2 linked regions of the Notamacropus eugenii genome follow. The protein of the gene in region 1 interacts with the protein of each later gene in a pairwise test. Links are inferred from orthologs where the notes say so. Each region holds a gene or a part of one and is shown on either strand. Other genes may lie near its edges.

Region 1 (7,231 bases):
TGTTCAAGCCACCAGAAGGCGCTAAAAGCTTGCTGACTTAAGATCATTTCCACTATGTCTACAAGAGGCTCTTAGGAAACTACTGAGTAGTCTCAGATCACAGCCCACCCGGTTTCCTCTCCTCGGCCCTTATCTAGAGTACCATCAAAATTAATAAATTCATTTGGTTGCCCATTTCCTTCCTCAATTTCACATGATCTGGGAAGATTTACTTATTCAGGTATAAAGTGTATTTAGTAAAAAAAAGAACTTAAAATGTGAAAGTTCTGGGCTAAAAACCCATGGTAACTTGAGGAAGCCACAGCAGCTTAGGTTAGCCTGAATTTTTCACACCCTTGCTTGCTGCCTCTCGCTGTTTTCACTGAGACACGGACAACCCCAAAGCCTTTACACCAAGTAGTACTTGGTCTTGTACTCACAATAGATGGGGACTGAGGGAGGGAAGGGTTCATTCATCACCAGTCCATTCTCCTTGTCCTACGATATAGCTATTGCTTCTCTGGATGTTGCCTTGAACATACCGGGGCCTGGGAAAAATCTTCATTTAGAAAGGCTGAAGTCATCTATCGCCAGCTGTCTTGACTTCTGTGCTGCCACTGGATTTTGAATACTCTGAAGTAGAGAGTGAGGCTGATGACTTATGCAGCTCTGTCTCACTTAAATCCAATTCACACAGCAAATCACTCTCCAGATGTCAGTGGTCTTCTTCGAGAAAGGAGGAAAAGCAACTGACTCCTGGAACCACTCTATAGAGTGTCCTGGACACCTGCAAAGTAATCTACCTCACCCTCCCCTCCCTTCTCTCCAAAGGAAGGTAAATTTGGATAGCCAAAAGATGCCCAGTTGGTTTGGGTTTTACTGGCTAGTTTCCTTCCCTTCCCTTCTTTCTCAAAACCTTAAACCTACTGCACTCTGAAGCTGAGACACCAATGGGCCCTTGCCTAAGGGCTCTTCTGGACCCTCCAGGCTTTAGAGTGATTATCAGTAGTAACTGTTGCTGTTTCCCTCTCCCTCTGATGTCTTTCTTTCTCGAGGTCTCATTAAAGGGACCAGGCCCTGGCTACTTCTTAAACAGGCCTATTCAATGAATGGGTGTTGCCTCACCATAAGTGAGTACCTGCAAAGACTTTGGCCTAAACGGCCCAAGGTCTCCCAGTGTATCCCGGGTCATCTCCAGTCATCCTGATGAATATCTGGTCACTGGATTCAGATGGCTCTGGAGGAGAAGTGAGGCTGGTGACCTGGCATAGCCCTCCCTCACTCAAAACAAAGTCACATGCTAGTCATGTCATCATTTCTCTGAAGGCATGGTCTTTTTTGGCAAGAAGGACAAACACAAACAACCATGAATAACCTGCCCTTCAAAACTGCAACATTTTTTTTTTCCTGCATAATCTTAACAGGGAAAAATGGATCTTGAACAGAACAGAAAACTTTCAAGCATTCTTGTTGAAAATACCATGGTTGAGTATAAACTTTGAAATGGGATTGGAAATTGAGAAGTAATTAGAGGGAGCAAAATGATGATGAAATCCTTACATTCTAATTGTGTGAGAACAGACGCGTCCTACTAACTTTCAATGGTCAACATGGGAATTAAGAACCACCAACATAGAAACTAGGTGCGGTTTTGTTAGTTTTAAGAGAGGAAAAGAAAAGGGTGGGGAAAAAAAATACAAGAAAGAAATGAGGAAGAAATTCACTCTTTCACATAACTGGGGCATAGGAGAAGGGCACACAAAAATGGAGGAAGGGATGGGGGAGTGGGCTTATCATCTTTACTGGGCAAAGGTGGTTTAATGTATCTACTTAACATTTATAATTTGGTGTAGAAACAAATTAAACTCAGATACTGTTGCTCAGTTGTTTTCAGTCATGTCAGACTCTTCATGATCCCATTTGGGGTTTTCTTGGTAGAGATCCTGGAGTGGTTTGTCATTTCCTCGTCTAGCTCATTTTACAGATGAGGAAACTGAGGCAAACAGGATTACAACAACAATATTTATTAAATTAAAGGTTGGGCAAGAAGCCTTGGCTCATGGTTACTATCCTTTAAGATCAGGTAGCAAGGATATGATGGCTCACCTGAAAATGTGGGTACTGTTAAGTGGATATTACGTTTTTCAAATGACTCTCCCTTTTAAAGTCTAAGAGAACTAGACTAATGAACAAATAAGAAACTAAGAACAGTGTGGGATTCCACCTGTGATCACAGATAGACTCTGCTCCCTGCTTTTAACTTGGGAAGTAGTGGGCCTTCAGTACACTTTGAGCACTATTTCTATCAATCCTGCCCTAGTCTTTCTCTTTACCCCAGTTCTAATCCTTTAGCATTTCTGTCTTAGCTCCCCTCTACTTTGATCAATAGACATTTATTCAAACAGCAAGCACTTATTGAGTTTTATAGTGTGCAAAGCACTGTGTTAAGCACGGGGCTCTGTCCTAGGTTTTAGAGAGGGACAGGAACATAGGATGTAATTCAGAGTTTTAATCTGTATTTGATCTGTTTCTTTGAACAGCTTATTCCCCATACCTGGAATGCTCTCCTTCCACAGAGATGGGATGTAGAATGGTAAATTGTGGAAACAGCAAGTAGACCCATGTAGTTGAAATGTAGGTACATGAAGGGGAATCCCCAACTTGGGGACCCTCCCCTTTCATTTCCCTTTTATGGGCTCTTTCCCCCTTGGAATGTAAGGTACTTGAGGGCAGGGTCTGCCTTTTTGCTTGTATTTCTATCCCCAGTGTTTAGCATAGTACTTGGCACCTAGTAATTTCAACCCCCTCATTTGACAGATGAGGAAACTGAGGCACAGGCAGGTTAAGTGATTTACCTGAGATCACCCAGCTGGTAAGTATCTGAGGCAAGATTTAGTGTAGGTCTTCCTGGCAAGTCTCCCACTCTATTCACTCAAAAGTGAGGAAGGGAAGGATGGTTTGGGGCAGGGAGACAGCCTACTTCTTTGAATTCCACAGCCCTTGCTGGGCCCTGGAGAAGCAGCAGAAACCCAAGAGGTGACTGCATCCAGTATCTCTCTTCTAGCCCCACATCTCTGTGGATCCCACATTGACCAGCCCCAGCTTCCTTATCCTCTTTATATACCTTCCCAGTCCACTTTCACCACCTTTCCCTCTTTTTCCATTCCAGTCTACCCCTCTATCCCAGTTCATTCTCTCCAGCATCTTCATCTTCCTTTTCTTCAGTTCAGCATTTAATTTCACAAACTGGGTCCTTTCTACCTTTCCCATCTTCTTGTACTTTGCTCCTCTGGGGTGGGGTACTGTACAATTGACACCAGCCTTCTAGTTCACTCTAAGCAAAGCCTTTTTCAGTGTCCCCTATACAGGAATGCCCCGTCCCCCTCCTATCAAGACTCAAAATCCCATCTTCTTCGATCCTTTCCCAATCTCCCCTCCTACTAGTGCCTCTCCCCCTCAGATGACTATTTTCCATGTAATAATAACAACTATTATTTAAATAACACTTAAAGATTTGCAATGCTTTACAAATATTGTCTCATTTTATCTTCACAACAGCAATGGATGATAGATTCTGTAATCTCCCCATTTTTATAGGTGGGGAAAAGGAAACACTCGGAGGTTAAGTGACGCATCTAGCGTCACCCAGCTAGTCAGATGTCTGAGGGAGGACAAAACCCTGATCTCCTTGACTCCAATTCCTTTGCTCCCTAGGTATTCTTACAGAAATGGCTGTTTGCCTGTTGCTTCCCTTGTTAGACTTTCAGCGCTAGGACTGTTTCATTTACTTTCTTTGTACCCCCAGAGCTTAGCACCCCTGGCTAAGCTGGCACTTAATAAATGCCTTTTGAATGACTGAGGGAGCTCCCTCTACTTGGAGAGGAAGGGATGCAAACAGCCGGCGGTCAGTCCCGGACGCTGGCCAGCCACTCATCCTCCCCTAAGATTTGAAGCTGGAAGGGTTCCCAGAGGTCATCTCCACCAGTCTGGCTCCTCATTCAACAGATGAGGAAACTGAGGCTCTGAGAAGTGATCTGCCCAAGTGTATGAAAAGTGTTTGGCAGAGAGAGGCCTGGCCATCAAGGGAGGGGCAGAAGAGCACCAGCCCAGGGTCTCCCTCCTCTAGGGAGATCACTTCGTAAAAAGGCTTTTGCTCGGTACCCCAATCCCAAGCCTGACTAAAAAGAACTACAACTCCCACAGTGCCCCGCGGCCGGCCCGCGCTGCGCACGCGCCACCAGCCGAGCTCCTCCCCTTGCAGAGAGCTGCGAGGCGGCCGAGCCTAGCTGTGCTGCCTCCCGTGGCCGTCCCTCGGCCCCGGGGCTGAGTCGTGGTCCTGCAGCGGGTCGTAGGATGGCGTTGAAGCGGATCCAGAAGGTAAGCCTCCCGCTTCCCCTCATCCTTGGCGAGAGTCCGGAGACGGAGGAGCCGCAGGCGTCGGCTCCACCGCTACACAGAGAGCCACGGCAGGAGGCGGCGCCGCGCGCAGGCGCGGGAAAACTTGTGGCACCTGCCAGGGAGTGAGGCGGCGCCTCGTGCGCCCACTGCCTTACAAGGGAACAGCACGGGGCGGGGGCGGGGCCACGCCGGGGCGCGGGGTCTCGGGGTGGGCGGGGCGGGGCCTGGGCGGAGCTAGAGGCGCCGCCGGCCAACCACGTGCTCCTTTGTGTGTTTCCCTTTCTGCTGGCCGGCTGTTGGCGTGAGGGGCGTGTCCCATTCTCACTTTTTCTCCTGTTCTTGCGCCGCCCCCTCTGCCCCCTAATAGCCCAAGAAAACTAGCAGTCGTCCACCCCCAGGCTCCCCGCCCCAGTGCCAGGCACACAGTAGGTGCTTAATTAATGCCTGTCACCTCTCCCCCTTCCTTTATGGTTATAGATGCGGAGCTGGAAAGGACCTTAGCAGCCTGATAATTAGATTCAACCCATTTTAAAGATGAAGAAACAGGGTAGATTTAGAGCTGGAAAGGACCTGAGAGCTTAATTCAGGTGGGGAAACTGAGGCTCAGAAGTTAAGTGATCGCCCCTCTGCATCTTGGGAGCATAGATTTGAGCTGGGAAGGAAGGACCTTGGAGGTTATCTGGTTCAAGTCCAGGGTCCATCATGGATAGACCTGAGCCCAGTTCCTTCCTGAAATCTGCTGGCCTTCCCACCACCCACTGTGCCTGAAAAGTTACTTAGACTAATTTCTGCCCTTTGAATTCTGTTTCCTCCACATGCCCAAAACTGACTTTCACCTTTTTACCTCCATTAAGGGCTGAAGTTTCCCTGCTGTCCCGACTGTAGCTCTAACAGCTCCTGGTAAATAGTTCATCAGTCTTCTAGGACCATTGGGAGCATTTAGAACTGGCCTGAGATTACTTCCCATTTACACAGTGTCTGTCTTGTGTGTCCACCTAGTATACCTAAGCACAGTTGTTTGCCTGTTTGTCTCCCCATTTAGACTGTGATGAGCTACTTTTAGTTTCTCTTTTATGCTTTGTGTGCCAGGGCACGTTATTGAAGTACTTAATAAAGGTTTGTTGACTGACGGGGTGGTTATCCTAGAGATCATTTAATGCTCGCTGTTCTTCAACTCCCTGCCAAAACTTGGTATGTAGGCTCTTCCAAACTATTAAAACTTAAAACCACACTAAGACTTTTGGGACATACTAATATTATGCATTTATTTGTCAGGGTTCCAGTTGTCCCCCTCCCCCAATACCTGGCTTGCACTGGGCACTTAATAAATGTTTGGTGAATTAAATAGTTCACCTTCATAATTCTGATGAAGAAAACAAGGGCCAAGAAATGAAAAATGACTTGTCCAGGTCATGCAGTGGGCAGATTTCAAATCCAGGGCCATTTCTTTGTAGGATGCATTCTGCTTGTTCCCATAGGCTGTTTGTGATCGCTGCAGACTTGCATGTTGGCCAGTTCCAGAATGGTTGCCACTTCTTATTGTGGTCCAGAACTGTGATTTTATTGGTGTGTAGGAAACTTCCTGTAAGGAAATGCAGATCTCGGAAACCACTGTAAGGTGAAGGGCCCTAACCCATACTCTGTCTCTTACACACACATGTACACACACACATACGCACACACACACACTTTCAGAGGCAGGACTCAGAGGCCAGTCCTTTCTTTATGACACCTCTCTGCCTTTCTAATTCTTCTGCTTCAGTCTTGTTAAGTTCTTTTGGGATTAAGGCTTTTTGGTACCCATTAGTTTGGCCCTCTGCCATACTGTGCAGAGTAGAGATTGCCTCCATCTTGGAGTTAGGATCATAAAATTACTTAGGGCTTTGGAAGGGACCCTAAGAAGTCTTCTAGTAGAACCTCCTTGTTTTACCAGAGAGGTTAAGTAGCTTGACTAGGGCCACAACCCTCCAGTTCTTTTTTCATGGGCTCTTCTTTCTTGATTTCTTGATTTCTCTTAGAACATATCTTTGTTTTCCTCCTTGTTACCAAATTCCATTTGGACTTCCTTACCCATTCACTTCCTGTGCAATTCCTCATAGTTTCTTTGGGATGCTTTTGATAGATAACCTTTTGACTGTACCTGTTTTACCTATACAGCTCAAATAATTTTGTGCCCTCATTTCTTCCTAAGGCTTGCTTATTAAGCTAACCTTGATGAATTTGTCTTGGTTCCATCTCAGACTGGGTGTGCAATCCAACTTTCTTCTGGGTTACCTTTGTTTGCATGGTGATCATCTATTCCAGTGGGTTATATCAGCATACTGCTTCTACTTCGTCCCTAGATATCCATATTTCTGTACGTGTGCGTTCATGCACTTAATGCATATCTGTGTCTTTGTATATTCTGTGTATTTACTTACTGATATCCTTGTTGTGCCATGTCCCACTTGTGAATGTCAGTTCTTTGATGATAAGGATTGTTGGTCTTTGGTCATTGAGGCAAACCCTCTTATCTTACAGATGAGGCAAGGGAGGTGAAGTGATTTGTACAAAGTCACACAGAAATAACAAAGACAAGATTTCCATGCAGGTCCTCTGACTTCAAACTTGATGCACTTTCTACTGTACCAGGCATATGTGTTCAGGTACATACATATGTACCTCTGTGTGTGTATGTGTGCGTGCTTGTGCCTGAGAATATAAATACAAAAAACATTCGTAGATTTGTCCCAATTCTGTAGCATAAAAGCAGATGTTTTGTTACAGATTATGTTCATGTCATAATTATCCAGAGTAACTTTTCTCAGCGTAACTTGTGCATAAAATAGTTATGTATAGTAATACCAAGATTTAC
Region 2 (7,681 bases), on another chromosome or scaffold:
GTCTTTCACCATGTGTCCTCATCTCTCAGGGGCCCCCCAGAAGGAAGTATATTTCATGGGCCTCATTGACATCCTGACCCAGTATGATGCCAAGAAGAAGGCGGCTCATGCAGCAAAGACTGTCAAGCATGGCGTGAGTGTTCCCCATAGGCTCATGTGCTCTACTGGCTCCTATCCCCACATTAGGGCTCAGAAACAATTGTTAGGGGGAGAGCTTCAGCTCTCTTTGGGAATCTTTTGTAATGACCAGGGGTTGGGGAGAGGGATTAAAGAAATGAATGTGGAAATCAGAGGAAGGATTTGGGGTGAAGGAGCAATCCACCCCTAGATCCACCCTCAATCCTGTCTTTGTTTTTCAGTTCTCTTTGTTTCTCAATTCTCTCTTTCCACAGGCTGGGGCAGAGATCTCTACTGTTCATCCTGATCAATATGCCAAGCGGTTCCTAGATTTCATCACCAACATCTTTGCCTAGGAGACTAACTGGCACTCCATGATATCTCCTTAGATTGGGTGGGGGAGGAAAGAGTGACAGGGCTATAGGGGGAAGACTGAAGGAGTTACAGGTGTCCTCTTCCTTAGCTAAGTCCAGGTTGCCTCTCCCCGCTCCCAGAGTGATGTCCTCCCTGCTTCTTGTCCTACCCACACCAGCCCCAGAGTCAGCTTCATTAGGGTTTTACTGAGGATTTTTTTTTCACTCCCAAGTGCCTTGATCTTTGTAAAATGTCGTTTTATTTTTGTAAAATAGGAGGAGCTGAATTGGTTGGGGGGAGGGGTATCTTCTGACCCTGGCAGGACCAATGACTGGTTCCGGATGTTGCTCTGGCCTGGAAAGCTTGAGCCTAAGCATGGCTTGAACTTTGCTGTTTAACTTTATTGGAGGCATAGAGGCTCACTCTTCACTCTTCCAACATTCCCTCATGTACCTGGGGCAGATGGGGATGCAGCAGTGTGCATAAAGTGGTGTAGCCAGTCTTGCTCATTGAAGTGGAGGGGTGTGTGGAAGATGCAGCCAGCAGGTTGGCTTCTCACTGGGTTGGGGACTTGAGGGATTACTTGGCTTTGTCAGGGACTTTGAATGGTTTCCTAGCCCCAGTGTCCTGAGAACCTAAGTCTTTTAGCATTCTCTCTGTCTAGGCCCGAGTTGGGGTTGGTGTTTGGTTGCTGCTGCTGGATACCAGAGCCTCTGTCCCTACCTGGGACTGGGACCATTTCTTTAGGCATTTAGGTGGCTAGTCTGGGAGACTGGGGTAAAGAAAGATTCTGGAGCTAAAAGCTCACTATATTTAATATTACTTTCTTTTTGTCTACTTACTTTTGGGTATTGTTCCAGGGACAGGGGAATTCCTCAACCTGGACCAAACCTGGTTATTTTTGGGGTGAATTGAACTCAGCACCATTCCTTCTTCCTCTCTCCCTTCAGCTTTGTCATCAGCCTGCCCCCTTTCAACTTGCCTTGTGCTGTTGTTATATCTCCCAGAAATAGGTGACATTGTCCTCCTTATTCCCTACCTCCTGAGAGGAATCAGCCATAACTGTCCCTCCCTGAATTATATAGGAGTAGTATATCTAACTGGGGGTTGAGGGGCATGAGCATAGGGGAAAGGGCTATAGACTCACTTTGGAGTTGAGACAATCACTCCTTCCCAGGTTTCTCCAGTATTGTCCAAGGTTATGGGTCAGTGCAGTACTCCCTGTGTGGCTGGACTGTTCTGTCAATAAGAGATAGCCCTGTGAATGTTTTCTCCCACCTACTCCCTTGCTCCCACTTTTATTCTTCAGGAGGAGGAAACTGAAGTTGTGTGTGTGTGTGTGTGTGTGTGTGTGTATGTGTGTGTGTGTGTTATGGCTACCTGATTTGTGTGTGTGTGTGGTATGTGTGACATCTAATATGTGCCTCCCTCTTATCCCTCCTCTAGGGGCCTGGTTGAATTTACTCCTTCCCCCTATCTTTCCCCTGTCTAAATGCAATAAAATTTAGGACACCTGCAACTGCCTTTCTCTAGAAATTGGTTTTCTGACCATGTAGCTGATGCATCAGGGGCAGTATGGGTGTCTTCATTTGTTGCAATTTTTTTTTTAAAGAAAAGAAAAAATAATAATCTTGCATATTCCCATTGCTGTCTCAACATAGAAGTAAATTATTAAACCTGAACTGGTCCCTCTTTGTGCTTTGTGTATTTTTGAGATTCACTGTGGCATGGGAGTACTAGACATGGAGTAAATAGACACTGCCTGGATGGGAATCCCATATTACAAATTTAGTAGTGTATATTTTTAGCCAAATAACTTAATCTCTCTAATCTTCCTTATCTGTGAAATGGGTATAATGCCTTTAATCCTTCACAAGGTTGTCAAAGGGATCAAATGAGACTAAAGTGCTTTGGAAACCCTAAAATACTATAAAAAAGCTGTTATTGAGTGTTGGGGTTCAGAATAAGGAAGAACGGGGAGCTGAAAAGTCTAGCAGCAAAACTGTGGTGCCCTAAACCTGGAGACTATGTTTTGAGGATGAGTGATGATGATCCTTAAAGGAAAATGGAATATTTGGGGAAGGGGAGAGGAGAAGAAAAAGTCTTGGGTTGCCTGAGGTTTTTGTTTTTTGCCTTAGGAATATAATAGATTATATTTGAAGAGGAAAAGAGAAGTATCTCTCAACTATGAGAACTTTGAAGTGCCAGATATTGAACTTGGAGGTTAACCTCCTCTGGGATCTTGATTTCTTGGAACACATAGCCCTTCAATAAAATGCATGTGTCCTTTCAGCAGAGAAGCTGAGTAGGAAGCAAGCTTCTTGGGAAGAAATCTTCTGACTGCAAGGGAGAGAGTGGGTGAGGGGAAGGGATACAGCTGGGTCCTGGGAAAGCATGCTGGAGAAAAATCAGTCATCTAGTCCCAGGGGTGGGAAGAATGAATTGATAGTGCTCTCCCAACAGTCCCCTGGGATTTCCAAAAGCCTCCTTATTAAATTCCTCTTTGGCTGCTGGGAAAGAAAAAAAACAGTTAAAAAAAAAAAAAGACTTGTAGATGAGGCCCTAGGGTGAACAAAAGGGTACAAGGTTTTAATCTGGAATGCAGCACAGATTTGGATTAGGCTGGGTATTTTGGGAGGAGTATTAGAAGGGCTGAGCAGCAAATGAACTTTGAATCCCCTTTTTCAGGGCACCTTGATAACATTCTACTTCCTCATTTTCCCTTTCTGTTAATGTGTGGGCTAAAGAATTTGTAAATTCAAAGTTGGGCTCTGACTTTGGCATTTGGAGATGGGTGAGGATTATTGTTGGAGGGGACTTCAATTTGAGAGCAATACAGGGTTATTTTAAGAGTCATGGTATAATTAGGAAAGTGTTGACCTCAGCACCTGGAGAACTGGACTTGAATTCCCCAGGTAGATGTTTACTAACTGAGTGGCCGTGAAAAAGACTCTTCCTTGAGTAGGACCAGGAGAACACTAACATAAAGACTTAAGAATTCTGATGTTGAGAGACTCAGGAATTCTGATCAAAACCATGACCCACCATGATTACAGAGAATTGTAGATGAAATCTGCTACCCATTTCCTAGCAGAGAGGACTCAGAATGCAAATTAAGGCAATGGTTTTGACCATGTCTAATATGAGAATTTGTTTTGCTGGATTATATATGTTTTTAACAGGTTTTTTTTTTTCTTGCTTCTCAGTGGGGAGGGGGAAAGAAGTGGAAGAGGTCAGATCTCTTGGAAAAAAGTAAAATTTTTGTTTTTTGAAAAATAAAATACTAAAAATAGAAAAGTTGCTGAAATTGAAAATTCTGTTCCTTAGGCTTTTCCATTGTAAAAGAGGAATAATAATTTACCATCTACCTTGAATAATGGATATGAGCGAAGCTCTTTATAAGACTTCCAAATGCTATAGAAATGGGGTTGAGGGGTGTATTATTCTCTTAATCTATTCCACCTTTCTGCCTGCGTTCCTGTCTGGCCTGAACGCTAAAATGGGTAAATGATAAAGAGTGTCTTCCCTTCACCCAACTTCAGGATCTTAGACTCAAAAAGTTGAAAGGGACCAGCCATCTAGTCCAGTCCATTCATTTTGCCCATAAAGAACGGAGCCTCAGATAAGTCAGATGGCTTATCCTAGGTCACACGGAGAACAGGGGCGTATTTTTAATATCCATTATTCCTTCATTTCAATTTTCTGTGGCTCCATCTGCAATGAACATCCTAAAAGTGGGTAAATGGTCGAAAGGGGGCTCCTTCCACCCAATCTCATAAATCTAGGACAGAGAGCCGACGGGCATCTTCGAGATCATCTCCCTGTCAAGACCCGGGGCAGAGAAGTCAGTGACTCGCCCTGGGCCACACAGCTCAGAGGGGTCTCGGGTGGCCCTTGAACTCAGGTCATCCAATTTCCAGGTCGATTCGCTCGACCAACCCGACTCCCACAAAGCCGAGGTTGCCCGGGCTCCGTCCACCCCCACCGGCAGCCGCGCAGTGGACTGGGAAAGCAAAAAGGTGAGAAAGGTGGAAGGCGGTGCTGGGGAGGGGCACAGGTGAAGGAGGGCGGGGGGGCTTCTTCCCCGGGCTCCCAGGCTGGCTCGCCTCTCCCTCCCTCACCGCCTCCCCCAGCCCTGCCCTCGCTCCCTCCCAGCCTCCCTCCCTCGCTCCCTCCCTCCCTCACCCCTCCCCGCCCTGCCCTCGCTCCCTCCCTCCCTCGCTCCCTCCCTCCCTCACCCCTCCCCGCCCTGCCCTCGCTCCCTCCCTCCCTCGCTCCCTCCCTCCCTCACCCCTCCCCGCCCTGCCCTCGCTCCCTCCCTCCCTCACCCCTCCCTGCCCTGCCCTCGCTCCCTCCCTCCCTCTCTCCCCGCCCCCAGGAGCGTCCTCACGGAAGGAGGGCTGGGGAGGCGCAGGAAGGACGCTCCGGGATTGGAGGTGGAGCCCGAGAGGCGGCAACTGTCGCCTCCGATCTGGAGGAGGGGGCCGCTGCTGTGGGCCCCGCCTCCCCTCCTTTAGGTCCCCCCTCCCCGGTCCCCCTCCCCATCTTCATCCCTCTCCCTCCTCTCCCCCCCACCCCGTTGCTAAGGTCCGGACCGTCATCCCAGCAACAGCCTCAGTCATGTGACCGGCGATGGCGGCGCTGACGGGAGGTAGGTGAGCCCGGCGGCCCCCCCTCCCCCCAGCGCCCCCCGGACGCGGGCTCGCGCCCCTCGGACCCGACTCCCCGGAGCGCGGGGACCCTCGCCTTTCCCCACCCGCGGCGGCCGCTTCCCAGCCGGGCGTCTTCCCCTGGGCTGCGGGGTCGGGGGGATGGATGCTGGGGAGGGTGCTGCGGGGCCTCGGCGGGGCCTGCCAGCTGCGGGGCCGGGGAGGGGGCCCGGGCGTGTGCGCGCGGGGTCTGTGTGTATCCGTGTGTGCGCCGGGGCAGTCAGGGCCCGGTGTGGCGCGGGGTGAGGGCTTCGGGAAAGGGGCGATGGGGACTCGGGGATCCGGGCCCACTCCAGCAGCTTCGCTGGCCCCGCCCCAATCTGGGGGGTGGGACCGGCCCGGTAGGTCACGGACCGCCGGGCCCTTCCCTCCCCCCGACATTTCCTTAGCCAAACCAGTGTCCGGGGTTGCCCTCCGCTGTCACAGGGCTCCCAGCCTGGAGCCACCCTGCCCCAGGGTTTGGGCTAAGAGCCCTTAGGGGTAGACAGCCTCGGGGTTGGGAGGGGGATGGGAAGTGGAGGGGGGGGTGGATAGGATGGAGACACAGGCAAGGGCAGCCTTTTCTCCCAACAGAGAGGGTCAATGTTTGATTTAGCCAGAATTTAAACTTGACCCCTAGTTCAGTCCCGAGGTTCTCCTCCTAGCTGGATGAGAGATGGAGACCTGAGGAAGTACACCTGTGAGCACGAAGGGCATGCCCCAGTTTCTAGGAACTAGACCCATGTATGAATATTCCCCATCCATGATAGCCTATGCTGATGGACAGATGAGATACCTGGTCTTAAACTAGTAAGAGTGAACTATGGATATTTTTTTGTTATAGAGTCTGCTACCACTTTGTCCACATCTTCAACAGCCAGCAAGCAGGAGTGATTAAGGTTAGACCTTAGGGAGGATTTGCAGGCCTTGAGGGTATACAATTTGGGAATCAGGAGGAATTGTGAGAGCAGTGGAAGTGCAAGAACACAGAGGAAATTCCTACCTGTTTGAACTGAGGGCAAGGGGGCAGGATAATGGTTAAGACAATTGACAGATCAGTTTTTGAGACTTTTCCAATATCAGTTATTCCTCTTTTCTCGTATCTTTTCACTGAAGGAAAAAGGCCCCTGAAGTAAGGTCATAGTGTTAGGGATGAAAAGAGGTTTGAAGCTGGAGTATTGAAGTTTCAGTCTCCACAAAGCTTCTTTTGGAAAGGGGATGGAATACCAAGGGTGGGGGAAGAGAAAGGGAGATGCCGGGTGCAATTGGCTGGTGTCAAGGAGGGAGGAGAAAGGGAGGGACAGGTAAGGAAACAATTTCTATTATAACCCTATTGCCCTCACCCAGTGTTGGGGTCAAAGTCCAGCTGAGTGTGGAAACTTCCGGGATTCCTCCTGCCACCATCGTCCATGGGCTCTCCAGGTACCAGTCCTCCAAGTAATTTGATGCCTACCCATCCCTCACTGTTCCTACCCCAGGGATCTTGTTTTCAGTGCTTCAGTAACTTTGACTCTAGAAATCCCAATTCTTCCACTCCCAGGGCTGCTCAAGTACATAGGGTCTCTGAGTTAGGATGTATCCAGGAAGGTTCCCTTATTTTCTCCCCAACTCTGGACAGAGAGACTCACCACCACCACCATTAGATCAGATATTTCTAGCCCATAAGTAGGGACATAGAGAGAGAAAAGGAAAGCCAATTCTGGATATGCCAGGCTGGGAAGCCTCCCTGCCAGGGTACATGACTTTACCCTGGACAGGGAAAAAGGTAATCAGTGTAACTATAGGGGAAAGTGGGATCAATTCATATGTTTGGTTTAAATGGTAATAAATCAATTGAATCTCCCATTCTGAAAGAAGACCCTATAAGACTGCTGGGAGTTGTGGGAGGGGGGACCAGGAAGAGATACTATGCCTTGGGTTTGGGATTGAATGAAAATGAGAAGGCCATTGTACCTTGAAGCAACTTTCCTTACATTGCAATATAATCTTTCATCTTGAGGAATTACCCTAGTCTTTACTGGGAGAACTTTGGTTAGAATGCAGTAGAATGGAAGGGATGCTGAACTTTGGAGATTAAAATAAAATGGGTACTTCTTTGGTGAGAGGTGGTATTGGGTTGGGCTTTGGAATGGGGCTAATGCTAATCTCACGTAGGTAGTGGGAACTGAGAGTAGAGGCACTGGTATTTGGCAAATAGACCCTATCCTGAAGCCCTTTCATTCTGGGGCAGTGTCGTTCGTCCTGTCCAGGATGGCGGCCTGTGGGGGCAGCTGCAAGAACAAGGTGACGGTCTCAAAGCCAGTGTGGGACTTCCTGAGCAAGGAAACACCAGGGCGACTGGCCCGGCTTCGGGATGAACACCGAATATCCATCCTCATCGATGGAGAGACGTCGGACATCTATGTTCTCCAGCTTGCTCCCCAGGGCCCCCACCCAGCCCCTCCCAATAGCCTCTACCTTGCTAGAAAGGCTCTCAAGGGGCTGCTGAAGGAGGCAGAGAAGGAGCTGAAGAAGGCACAAAG

What was found. The genes of interacting proteins can lie anywhere in the genome.
Region 2: the proteins of UBE2D4 (region 1) and DTX3 interact in binary tests that used the Homo sapiens proteins (3 or more experiments, as listed by UniProt). The link is inferred for Notamacropus eugenii from reciprocal best matches to the Homo sapiens genes UBE2D4 and DTX3.

Annotation. Positions count from the first base shown.
Region 1 is NC_092872.1:716,917,989-716,925,219, reverse strand, and holds the start of UBE2D4 (ubiquitin-conjugating enzyme E2 D4), read left to right. Parts: upstream 1-4,180; 5' UTR 4,181-4,332; coding exon 4,333-4,356; intron 4,357-7,231. UniProt on the Homo sapiens protein: Accepts ubiquitin from the E1 complex and catalyzes its covalent attachment to other proteins. In vitro able to promote polyubiquitination using all 7 ubiquitin Lys residues, but may prefer 'Lys-11' and 'Lys-48'-linked polyubiquitination.
Region 2 is NC_092874.1:232,973,689-232,981,369, forward strand, and holds the start of DTX3 (probable E3 ubiquitin-protein ligase DTX3), read left to right. Parts: upstream 1-4,638; 5' UTR 4,639-5,122; intron 5,123-6,003; 5' UTR 6,004-6,058; intron 6,059-6,506; 5' UTR 6,507-6,568; coding exon 6,569-6,581; intron 6,582-7,389; coding exon 7,390-7,681. Other genes in the region: PIP4K2C (phosphatidylinositol 5-phosphate 4-kinase type-2 gamma), read left to right, coding at 30-133, 393-473. UniProt on the Homo sapiens protein: Regulator of Notch signaling, a signaling pathway involved in cell-cell communications that regulates a broad spectrum of cell-fate determinations.